Macaca fascicularis: one gene and its partner. The protein of the gene in region 2 interacts with the protein of the main gene of each other region in a biochemical or structural test. Links are inferred from orthologs where the notes say so. Each region holds a gene or a part of one and is shown on either strand. Other genes may lie near its edges.

What was found.
Region 1: of the proteins of H2BC21 (region 2) and STK4, one has a biochemical effect on the other in vitro, tested with the Homo sapiens proteins (2 studies listed by BioGRID). The link is inferred for Macaca fascicularis from reciprocal best matches to the Homo sapiens genes H2BC21 and STK4.

The regions. Positions count from the first base shown.
Region 1 is NC_088384.1:101,095,950-101,101,906, reverse strand, and holds part of STK4 (serine/threonine-protein kinase 4), read right to left. Parts: intron 3,745-5,957; coding exon 3,616-3,744; intron 2,971-3,615; coding exon 2,784-2,970; intron 1-2,783. UniProt on the Homo sapiens protein: Stress-activated, pro-apoptotic kinase which, following caspase-cleavage, enters the nucleus and induces chromatin condensation followed by internucleosomal DNA fragmentation.
Region 2 is NC_088375.1:111,387,695-111,393,831, forward strand, and holds H2BC21 (histone H2B type 2-E), read left to right. Parts: upstream 1-2,754; 5' UTR 2,755-2,796; coding exon 2,797-3,177; 3' UTR 3,178-4,457; downstream 4,458-6,137. Other genes in the region: H2AC21 (histone H2A type 2-B), read left to right, coding at 1,520-1,912; H2AC20 (histone H2A type 2-C), read right to left, coding at 2,073-2,462. UniProt on the Homo sapiens protein: Core component of nucleosome. Nucleosomes wrap and compact DNA into chromatin, limiting DNA accessibility to the cellular machineries which require DNA as a template.

The DNA of each region.
Region 1 (5,957 bases), on a different chromosome or scaffold from region 2:
AACATACAGATGGCAATTCTGCCTAATTAATCTATATATCCAATGCAATTAAGTCAAAATTCCAGTAGTATTTTATAAAATTTGATATACTGATCCTAAAATTTATATGGGAGAGGCTGGGTGCAGCGGCTCACGCCTGTAATCCCAGCCCTTTGGGAGGCCGAGGTGGGGGGATCTCGAGGTCAGGAGATCGAGACCATCCTGGCCAACACGGTGAAACCCCATCTCTACTAAAATACAAAACATTAGCCAGGCATGGTGGCATGCGCCTGTAGTCCCAGCTATTCAGGAGGCTGCAGCAGGGGAATCACTTGAACCCAGGAGGCAGAGGTTACAGTGAGCTGAGATTGCCCCACTGTACTCTAGCCTGGTGATAGAGCAAGACTCCATCTTAAAAAAAAAAAAAAATTTATATGGGAGAATAGTGATATAAATTTCAAGAAGTAATCTGTGATGAAAAGAAAAATAAGAAGGGGATGGGAAATCTATTATAGATAAATGGTCAAAGAACGACTGAGAAGGTGACAGGATCAAAGACCTGGATAGAGGGAGGAAGCAAGTCTTTCAGATGGAAAAATAAAACAGACTACTAGAGCTCATATTGTAAATAAAAACAAATTCCTGATATATATCAGGAATATATATACTTTTACTGTAATTTACTGTAACATAAGCCTTAGTCCTGGCTCCCAACAACTTGACTTAAAATATATATATATGTATGTGTGTATATATATATTTTTAAGTCAGTTCTACACAAGAACTTTCAAGTCAGTTCTACTAAGAATTACTAGGTTTTTAAAAAATTTATTCAATTATTCAAGTAAGGCCATTTTAGCTGATTACAGTTTCAAAACTATATGCATGGTACCATGTTACAGAAAAAGAACACCAATTGTGTCAAGTCCACTGAGAAATCTGGGAAGGGAGAGAAAAAGTGACTATTTTGAGATGTTTTAGCTGACTTCTTAATTGAACTTTGCCAAGTATGAGGTATCCAATCTCCCAACTAAATAAAATAAAGACATTGCCCTAATATCACTGTGGTTACTTAAAATACACTTAAAAATGAATAAATAATGGTCTTGTTCTAGCATAAAGCCTACCTTTATATACAGGGCATTTGTGAACTCGAATGGGAACACAATTTTAACCCATTAACTTAATACAGAGCTCCCTCTGCTGGCCCAGAGAATGCACAGTGATCCTAACACTGACAAAGACCCTCTCATGTCACTTCAATTTCAATAATGTGTCCTGCCGTTGGGGGAAAAAAAAATCTCACCCAAAATACCACTGATGTCATAGCATGTCCTATAAATTAGGACTCTGAAGTCTCCATTACCTTAAGAATCTTTTCTTCCCCTTCCTCCTCTCCCCGTTTTTTATGGCCTTAAAAATGAATACTTTTACAGAGTGTTTACTATTTGCTTTTTGGTGAAGTGGGCTGAAATAAGATGGGCAGTGAGTTGATCACTGCTGAAGCTGAGTGATATAGGTCCACAGGAGTCATGATATTATTGTGTAATTGTATGTATGTTTTAATTTTCCAAATTTAAGTAACTCCTAAAACAATAAGGAATTTTTTTAAATCTCAAAATAAGTGGCAAATCTGTCAAATCTGTAATCCAAAAGGAAGAATTACAAAACCTGCAAAAGACTGTCTGTGAACAAATTTTATTTAATGTTACTCAGACTGTGACTGCTTAGGTTTTTAAATAGTTCTCTTCATGATTATAATAAAAGATGCATGTTTCTCATTAGACATGCTAAAACTATCCAAGTTCAGAAACTGGAAAGAATAAACAACTCATTGAATTAGCATTTGAATTATGAAAATCACATTTGGAAAAAAATTAATTCTTTGAATAAAAATGGGCACAATTTCCCTAACACGTGCATACACAACACATGCTAACAGGTCGGCCTAGTTGTATTGCACAGTGATTATAATCATCTACATAATTAAACCCCTTAAGACAAGCAGATGATTTAGCACTCAGAGTCAATGAAAAGAACCAGAGGTCAGTAACTCATTACTGCAAAATGAACATACTTTTAAAACAGAAGAGGAGGAGAAGGGCAATCTAGTACATGGCATTTAGTTGATAATTTGTATATCACCAAACATGGGATTTCTAGGGTGCCTTAATCTTGAGTTTAAGGGATGAAACATAAAGCACCACAAGCACTGAATGACACAAGAATTTCACTCTAAGATAGGAGCTGAACACAAGGTGTTAGGCCTAGTTACAGGCAAAAAAGGATCAGCCAGATATGGAAAGAAGCAGAGATGAGTTTAAAGTAGAAGAAACTGGATGGAACTTTTCAACTTGTCCAGTCATCTTTCATTGACTGACAGTGTTGGTAAACTTGCGTTAGACCCAAACTGTCATGAAAATAAACTGAAGATGTATGTACAGTAAATAACTCAGAATGTCATTACACCTTGATAGGAATTATGCATCAAACAATGCATGTGCTTCCAAAGATCAAGGTAAGGAAGGAAAATAATGACACCATTCAATGAGAAAATGGCTGTTCTGGTTCAAAAGCAAAATCCTTTCTCACTGTTGATGCTTTCTTGACTTTGACTCCACAGGTCAGCTTTCCCCCTCCCCAAACCTCCTGCCCCCATTGCAAACCTCCAAGTTTTCTACTCCTTTGGTTGTGACAAAAGAAAGAACTCAAAGCTAAGCCTGCATAAACCATGAGAATCTGTCTTCTCTGAAATATGTATGCTTGATCTGAGAAGTCAGTGGATTTACTTAGATAAGCCTTACTTTTCATAGTTCCTTCCTCTTCCTCATCCTCTGTATTGATCACCATGGTGCCCAGCTGTGATGGCAACGTGTCATCGTGCTCAATCATAGTATTGGCTCCATCAGTCATGGTGCCGGCTACTCGGACAGTGCCCATCTCATCACCCACTGCTCGAACCATTGTGCCAGAATCCATTTCATCCTCTTCCTGTGAACAGATACAATCTCAAATTGGGGCTAATTTGACAAAAGACGCTGAGTTTTCTGAATAGCTACTACTTAGTGAAAATATTTCGACATTTAACACTTACTCAGGTCCTAAACTCACCTTCCAGAAATGAAAGCACTGTTACTTAAGCAAAGATGACAAACTTATCCACATGATAATAAGCTTTGTATCTAACCCTAAAGGAATTCTTCCTCCACTCTTCTTAATAGAGTTTTGCAACATAGATCTAAGAAACTCATGTGAACATCTTTGGAATCTCAGGGTTGTGAGGAAGTCTATAAATATAAAAGCTACATGTTAAGTATGGATCCCAGATTCCCTAAAAGGATATGAAAAGCCAAATCCCAGACCTGAGCATTCTCTCTCTAAATAAAAAGTTAAATTGAGTAAAAGATGGGGGGGCAAAAGAGTGAAATTTGAAGGTGTTTTATAGGAAGCACTGGGAGAAGAACAAGTACAGATACAGCAACCCTCTAGCATGAGTTGGTCCAGGTTAGGACATAGCTATGCTGGAAGTCTCCAGCTCCAAGTTGATCCAATACCTCCTATTCATCTTACCTGGTTTGGCAATCATAAAATAACAAGCATCAATGCCTGAGGCCCACAGCAATGGCTGCCACTCACTGAGTTTTCTTCATCGTCCTGGTCCACTTCCCGCTGCTGGGATTCCTGGCGTTTCAGTTTCACATCCATGGCTTCATTAATTAAGTCTCGCAGTATTGACACTCCTTTGGCACTCTTGACAAATGGGTGCTTAAAGAATAAAGTAAAAAATACTGTGGACAATTTATATGGTGACAGTGCCAAAACAGTACCTAGAATACAGTAGGTACTGGATAACATGTGTTGAATCAATCAATGAATCTGATCTTTCTCTTTGTGCTTTGGACAACAGCTAAACCACACTCCCTTTATAACTCTGAGCAGAGCAAATTCAGTCTTTGCCCATCTTTTTCAGCCTGGCTGAAATGCCTATGCCATTTCTCTCTGTCAAATCTAGCGATTCTCAATAGGGAGTATCATCTCCTGGAGGAAGTTGTGTAAACATGTTGGGAACATGTTATAGCTGTCACAATGTTTGGTGAGCACAAATGGCATGGGACACTAGCAATTCTGCAAAGTACAGAACTGTCCTGTACAACAAGGAACTGTGGCAGATTCTGCACATCTTTCAAATGTCTCAGGTTGTGTACACACCTTAGTAGATAATACCAAAAAAATGTTTTCAAGAGATATGCAAAAAGGCCAGTGATTTGGGAGGTGATTTTAGAGAGGGGAGCTTAATGGAATGAAGAAATTATTTAGAAATCACTGAAAAATCTACTCATCTGACTTGTTCTACAGTAGCATTTCCAACTACACATTTAGGTAAAAAGGATTTTAGTGCAAAAATGCAGTTGCTACAGAAATACTAAACTGATCATATATATGTAACAGATTTTGACCCAAATATTATTCAATCACCAAAGATACTTGAAACAAAGGGATATTGTTCAATTTCATTAATAAAAATTGCTTTATAAGTTTTTAATATTAATACCATCGTATGTTTTTATTATTTGTATTTGTAGCACGTGGTAAGAAATCTATGCTGTGAAAGTTACACATGGAAATTCTTTTTGGGGAATTGCCTATTGTCTTCCAAACTTACTCTAGTATTGTCCCCATTGTTTCTTGGCAATCCATTCTCTGTTCTCCATCACCCATCAAAGGATACAAGTTCCAAGTAAGAACTCCAGAGATGTAAAGTATACCTCAAAATGTGATCAGATTGCAATACAGGAGATACATTTCCATGACATTTTGTCACTACCCCATCCAGGTAGGAAAAGAATTTGGCAATCCACTTAGAAATAAGACCCAACTCATTTGCAATAATATCATATTGCTTTGTTCTTTCCACTTGGAAAAGCTACAAGATCATATCCCACCTTCTGTAATCAGAGACAAATAAATCTGGCCTGTTATTATTTAACATCAGTTTCATGCTAGTGTCCATTCATTCTTTTTACTGTATTTCTTAAATGGCATAGTTTCTGATTTTCTTTCTTTCTTTTTTTTTTTTTTGAGATGGAGTCTTGCTCTGTTGCCCAGGCTAGAGTGCAGTGGCACAATCTCAGCTCACTGTAACCTCTGCCTCCCAGGTTCAAGTGCTTCTCCTGCCTCAGCCTCCTGCTGGGATTACAGGCATGTGCCACCATGCCCAGCTAATTTTTGTATTTTTTTAGGAGAGATGGGGATTCACCATGTTGGCCACGCTGGTCTTGATCTCCTGACCTCAAGTGATCCGCCTGCCTCAGCCTCCCAAAGTGCTGGAATTACAGGCATGAGCCACTGTGCTTGGCTAGTTTCTGATTTTCTTACAGCTCTTAAATCTAAACTCATTCATGATGCCAGGCACAGGTATCTATTTCATTATGTCTGCAAACTGGGTCAGGCAGAATTATTTGCAAATTGAAAGTCATATTATTTCATTATAAATTATCTTTACTTTTCTCCATCACATCACAGACAATATTGATTCTTTTTAAATTACAGGCATAAAAAGTTTTATTATATGTGAGTTTCATTCCAAAAAAGTAATGAGAGTTTTTAAATATACACATTGTTATAAAAAGGGGGCACTGGGTCTGAAATGGCTGCAAATGATTGGCCTAGCCCAATTATAATAGCTGATATTTATCAAGTTCATACCATACTGTCTTCAGTACATGTGAACATTGTTCAAAGTAACACACATTATATCATTTAATCATCACAACACATGAGGCAGATACTGTATCCCCATTTTATAGATCACAAAACTAAAAGAACAGAGAGGTTAAGTTACTTGCCCAAGATCACAAAGCTAGTAAATTGGGAGCCAGGATTCAAACCTGGGCAATCTGACCAGGATCCAAGCTCCTAACCACTAAGCATACTGTCTGCCACATCCCTGCCACCTATCCTTCTAGGGCCAGGCCTAG
Region 2 (6,137 bases):
ATCGCTTGAACCCGGGTGGGTGGGGGCGGGGTAGAGGAGGTGGTGGTGGAGGTGGCAGTGAGCTGAGAAGTGCTCCAGCCTGGGCGACAGAGCGAAACTCCGCCTCAAAAAACCAAAAAAACCACAAGTCTATTTTTTCTCTCTATTATTCTACCTGACCTTAAGGGATACTAAGGAAAGGGTGAGAATGGTGTAGGAGATGTAGAACTCCCAGAGATGGGACGTTGAGGAGGAAGAAACACAAGAGCTTTCAGATTCATCTGTTATATGGGATAAAAGAAAAAAAGAAGAGCTTTCAGGAAAGATTTCTAAGGCCGCTGGAGTCACACCAGCAATTAATGCCTGACAGCAAAGTTACCCTTTCCCGGCTGTTGCTGAAATCTAAGGGATGATGATGAGGTGGACAAGGGAGCGTGGAGAAAAAGATTGAAGGGATATTAAGGAAGCAACTGACTGGACATGCTGAGACGAAGGGAAGAGTAGAGTAGATTTCGGCTTAGTTATCTGTAAGTATGCTGGCGCATTTCAGGAAGAGGGCAAAGAGGGGAGGTTGTTTGCAGGAGTTCGCGTTCGAATAGGCTGAGGTTGAGTTTGAGTTTGAGGTGCTCGTTGGGACAAGTAGTAGATTGAAGTATTCAGTAAGCAGTTAGGCACAAGGGTCTGAGCTTCTGAAACAAATTTGGATGTTAGTTGAAAGCATATAAATGGGTAAGACTCTTCGGGATAAGTGAAGAATTGGAGATAGAGAAGCAGAATCCAGCTGGACTCGCAGATTTAGAGATGGCATGGGGAAGCAGGATAAGAAAAGTCGGCGAGCTAAGAAGAAAAACGCAGGGCGACATTTTGAAAGCCAAGGGAGTAAGCTTCAAGGCCGCCTCCTGGAGGTCAAGAAGATGACAGATCTAGCCTTGGTCAAACTGAATTCCAAGGAGTGCAGGCGGGTGGGGGTGGGGCGGAGTCGCTGCGGGCGACTTAAGTTGAGGGGCGAGAAAGGAGGCAGCCTTAGTAGTACTTGTATTTTTAAAGGGAATTTGGCTGTGACGAGACAGAAAGGGCGGAACTTAGTAGTTTAGAGCTCAAGGGGATAATTGGCTTCAGAATCCCCTACTCTTGCGTGAGAGTAACTCTCAGTCTACGGATGTCTTCTGCAGTTTCTTAGGGTCCATGTTGGGATTTACCGGCTGTAAACTAAACAAAGCAAAGCAAAACCCCATAGTACAAGACATTTTGTTTGAAAGCCTACTTTCTTTAAAGATCCTGCCATGCAAATAAGGGGCTTTAATGTGGCTCTCAGCGATTGGTAGATACTTACGAAATCCGTCATTTCCTTTCAGGGCAGGATGCAAACCAAGAGGCGGCTTTCTGTTTTTCTATTGGCTGTTGGATACGGCTCCGCTTTTAGCCAATCAAACGACTTCCCTTCACCCCTCCCGGTAGCTCTTATAAATTACATCAAATTGGTTATTCTTTCCACATTCTTCTCCTTGTAAAAGAAGCTGTAACTGCAATTTTAGCCGTAATGTCAGGACGCGGAAAGCAGGGAGGCAAGGCCCGCGCTAAGGCCAAGTCGCGCTCGTCCCGCGCTGGCCTCCAGTTCCCGGTGGGGCGAGTGCACCGCTTGCTGCGCAAGGGCAACTACGCGGAACGGGTGGGGGCAGGCGCCCCGGTGTACCTGGCGGCGGTCCTCGAGTACCTGACCGCGGAAATTCTGGAGCTAGCAGGCAACGCGGCTCGGGACAACAAGAAGACGCGCATCATCCCTCGCCATCTGCAACTAGCCGTGAGGAATGACGAAGAGCTCAACAAGTTACTCGGGGGTGTCACCATTGCCCAGGGCGGCGTCTTACCCAATATCCAGGCTGTCCTGTTGCCCAAGAAAACGGAGAGTCACAAGCCTGGCAAGAACAAGTAATTAAGAGGCTTGACACCATACTCATTCACCCCAAAGGCTCTTTTAAGAGCCACCAAAGTGTCAAATGAAGGGCTGATCACGAAATAGCGCATTAGCTCTTTTTTTGAAAACTTGGGTGGCTCTAAAAAGAGCCTTTGGTCTTTGGTTTGTTTGTCTGCATTTATTTGCTTTTGGCTTTGTGGCTTTCAGTTTTCTTTGGTAACAGAACGGCCTGGATGTTAGGCAAAACGCCGCCCTGGGCGATGGTGACTTTGCCCAGCAGCTTGTTCAGTTCCTCGTCGTTGCGGATGGCCAGCTGGAGGTGACGAGGGATGATGCGCGTCTTCTTGTTGTCCCGAGCCGCGTTGCCCGCCAGCTCCAGGATCTCGGCGGTCAGGTACTCGAGGACCGCCGCCATGTAGACTGGCGCGCCAGCCCCCACCCGCTCCGCGTAGTTGCCTTTGCGCAGCAAGCGGTGCACTCGCCCTACCGGGAACTGGAGGCCAGCGCGGGACGAGCGCGACTTGGCCTTGGCGCGAGCCTTGCCTCCTTGTTTGCCACGACCAGACATGACTGAAACCAAGGTTAAACACAGACAATGCTCAGAACCTCGCTACAAAATAAGCTTGAAAGAGAACCAAGAGGAAAGCCTTTATAAGCTTTCCTAGGGGTGGGGTCTAGAACGAGTTTTTCATTGGTCCTAATATGGCTTCAGAACCGGCCAATCAAGTCAAGAGTCGGTGTTGTTGCGTACGCATTGCTGAAAACGCAAGGTCCGCACACGGACCAATGGAAATGAATGACTTTCGGAGCCCTAATTTGCATAAGGTGGTTATAAAAGAATCAGGCCCGCCCATTCTCTTACTTCTTTTCTTGGCTAAGCCGCGTTTGTACTGTGTCTTACCATGCCTGAACCGGCAAAATCCGCTCCGGCTCCTAAAAAGGGCTCCAAGAAAGCCGTCACCAAAGCCCAGAAGAAAGACGGCAAGAAGCGCAAGCGCAGCCGCAAGGAGAGCTACTCCATCTACGTGTACAAGGTGCTGAAGCAGGTCCACCCCGACACCGGCATCTCGTCCAAGGCCATGGGCATCATGAACTCCTTCGTCAACGACATTTTCGAGCGCATCGCGGGAGAGGCGTCCCGCCTGGCGCACTACAACAAGCGCTCCACCATCACGTCCCGCGAGATCCAGACGGCCGTGCGCCTGCTGCTGCCCGGCGAGCTGGCCAAGCACGCCGTGTCCGAGGGCACCAAGGCAGTCACCAAGTACACCAGCTCCAAGTGAGTCCCTGCCGGGACCTGGCGCTCGCTCGCTCGAGTCGCCGGCTGCTTGACTCCAAAGGCTCTTTTCAGAGCCACCCACCTAATCACTAGAAAAGAGCTTGTTCACTTACTCCCTTAGTTTCTTCTCATAAAGTAATTTTAGCGTAAAGGTCATGGGAAATGCCACACGTAGGTTTTTAACCATTTGGAACTTGAGGTCCCCGGTGCATGATTGGATTTGCTTTTGAATCTAGAGCGTGTCTTCACTCATTGTGCTGCTTAGCATTCCCAGGAGTCGGTTCTCAATTAGGATGTTGGGAATCCGCCTCTTTACCCGCCCCCACTCCCGCCCCACACTGGCGCCCTGGTGGCTTCTTGGGTCTGTTTCATTCTAAAACGAAGTGGCTGAGTTCGGCTGTTATTTAAGAGAACTCCAGGGCACGATTCAGCCCAGGTTCCGCAAACACTGCGTGACAGCTGTGTATGACTGACGCTTGGCAGCACCTTTTGTGTCCGGTCACCAGTTCTGCTGTGCGATGGGGTCTCCTGTGGATACCAGCCGTTCTGTGTATTTTGGACGAAGCCCGCGCAGCCGGGTCCCAGCCTTTTCCTGATTGGGCGACATGAATATTCAAAATTCTGCGCCTCTTTCTAATTTGTAGATTTCAGTTTCCGTCGTTCACTTTGAGACTTTGAAATTCCTATTTCTCGTTTTGTTGATAATTTTTGCATTTAATGGTCTCTGCTTTAAAGGGTAAGGCTGCGGCCCCAGGTCACTGCGAGGCACTTACCGTGTAGATACGGGCTCAAAAGTCACCTGTCAGAGATCTACGTCATCCACTAAGGAATTCGCGCCGCTCATACTTGCCTGTCTCATTTTATCTTCCTTCTAGCAGCTGTCTGAAATTGGTTCGTCTGTTTTCTTGTTTATGGTATTCTCAAGCCCTTGACCGGCTGGTGTGGTTTTCCCGTGCATCTTCAGCCTGGCACATTATGGACACTTACCTAAATACTACGTATTGATGTAATATTGTTGGGTTAGTTTTTCCATCCCATCGTTTTCTTAATCGCTTTCGTGGATGGATGATGGGTGCTGTTCATTTCCGTTAGATGTATGTGAAGGCACGGTGAAAATGGAAATGTTTTTGGAGCTACTTCCTCAAATGTGTCCTTAGTCACCTCAGTGCAACAGCTGGGAGGGGGCCGTGTTAAGATTTTTTTTGCATCAAAGAGGAGGTGGCAATGGTAGATCCACCCTTACGCTTCCCAGTTTAGCATAACCTCTTTTGGATTTTCATCAAATTCAGCGTATTGGTCACTGGAAAGAGCCTTTTCCTTCTTTTCTTACTCTCCCCTCTTGGTGTTCCCCTCTTAAAGGAGAGGAGCTTTTAATTGACAGTCATCACCTCATTTTTTTTTTTTTTTTTTTTTTTTTTTTTTTTTTTTTTTTTTTTTGAGACGGAGTCTCACGCTGTTGCCCAGGCTGGAGTGCAGTGGCGCGATCTCGGCTCACTGCAAGCTCCGCCTCCCGGGTTCCCGCCATTCTCCTGCCTCAGCCTCCTGAGTAGCTGGGACTACAGGCGCCCGCCACCGCGCCCGGCTAATTTTTTGTATTTTTAGTAGAGACGGGGTTTTTTTTCACTGTGGTCTCGATCTCCTGACCTTGTGATCCGCCCGCCTCGGCCTCCCAAAGTGCTGGGATTACAGGCTTGAGCCACCGCGCCCGGCCATCATCACCTCATTTGCTTTCCAGGAGGCCATGCAAGATAGGCAGGACTACAGGGTTAATCTCCTTTTTACAAATGAGGCCAAGGGAAGCCTCATTGGTTCACAGTCATGCAGCTCATACTGTCCACCCTTGTATTCTCAGATGCAGGACAATTGCATTTTAGTTTTATTTTGTGGAGGTACAGAATATTTACTCTTTCTGTCCAACCCTTGATTCTGCCGAGGAAGACACTGATGGTTTGATGAGTGATTCAACTCTGTTTTTGGCTAAGGGTTTTGGAGTTGATAGCAGGGGTCTGATGAATCCAAATGAGCTCTAGACATTATCACAGACTGAATAAATCTTTTTTTTTTTTTTTTTTTTTTTTTTTTGAGACGGAGTCTCACGCTGTTGCCCAGGCTGGAGTGCAGTGGCGCGATCTCGGCTCACTGCAAGCTCCGCCTCCTGGGTTCACGCCATTCTCCTGCCTCAGCCTCCTGAGTAGCTGGGACTACAGGCGCCCGCCACCGCGCCCGGCTAATTTTTTGTATTTTTAGTAGAGACGGGGTTTTTTTTCACTGTGGTCTCGATCTCCTGACCTTGTGATCCGCCCGCCTCGGCCTCCCAAAGTGCTGGGATTACAGGCTTGAGCCACCGCGCCCGGCCAGACTGAATAAATCTTAACTGTCTCCTACATGTGTGTTTTCAAATGTGTGTAGATGCTATTGTTATTAATAAAGTTACCAATTAAAGGCTTTGCTGGATTCTTTTATCTACAGTATATATTTCTCAATGAAGGAAATTAACAGATACAACTTACACAGGGTCTATAGAAAAGCATGGGTGCCTCTGATCTGGGGGATGACTATTTATAAGCCACCAGCCAAACTGCTGCCCCAAAGGTGCACTAGGGCTGAAATAGTCGCTTACAAGGCCACTGTTAATGCTTAGTAATTGAAAAATATATGATCACAAATAGAAAGCAGTACAAATAAGATGGAAGAACTAAAGTTCATAATGAAGTTAAGCTAACACCTACGGAGCACTTACTGTGTGCCAGGTAGTGTTCTAGGCCCTTTATACATATTGACTCATCTAATTCTCACCAGGACCTCAGGAAGTAGTACCATTATTATCACCCATTTTACAGATAAGGAAACTGAGGCAAAGAGAAGCCTTTCTTCAGAAACTCTCCAGAGGATAAGCTCCTAGGTTAGCAGTTAAGGGACTTGAGAAACAGGGTCATTCTGAAAACCTGGACCCTTCCCTGTGTT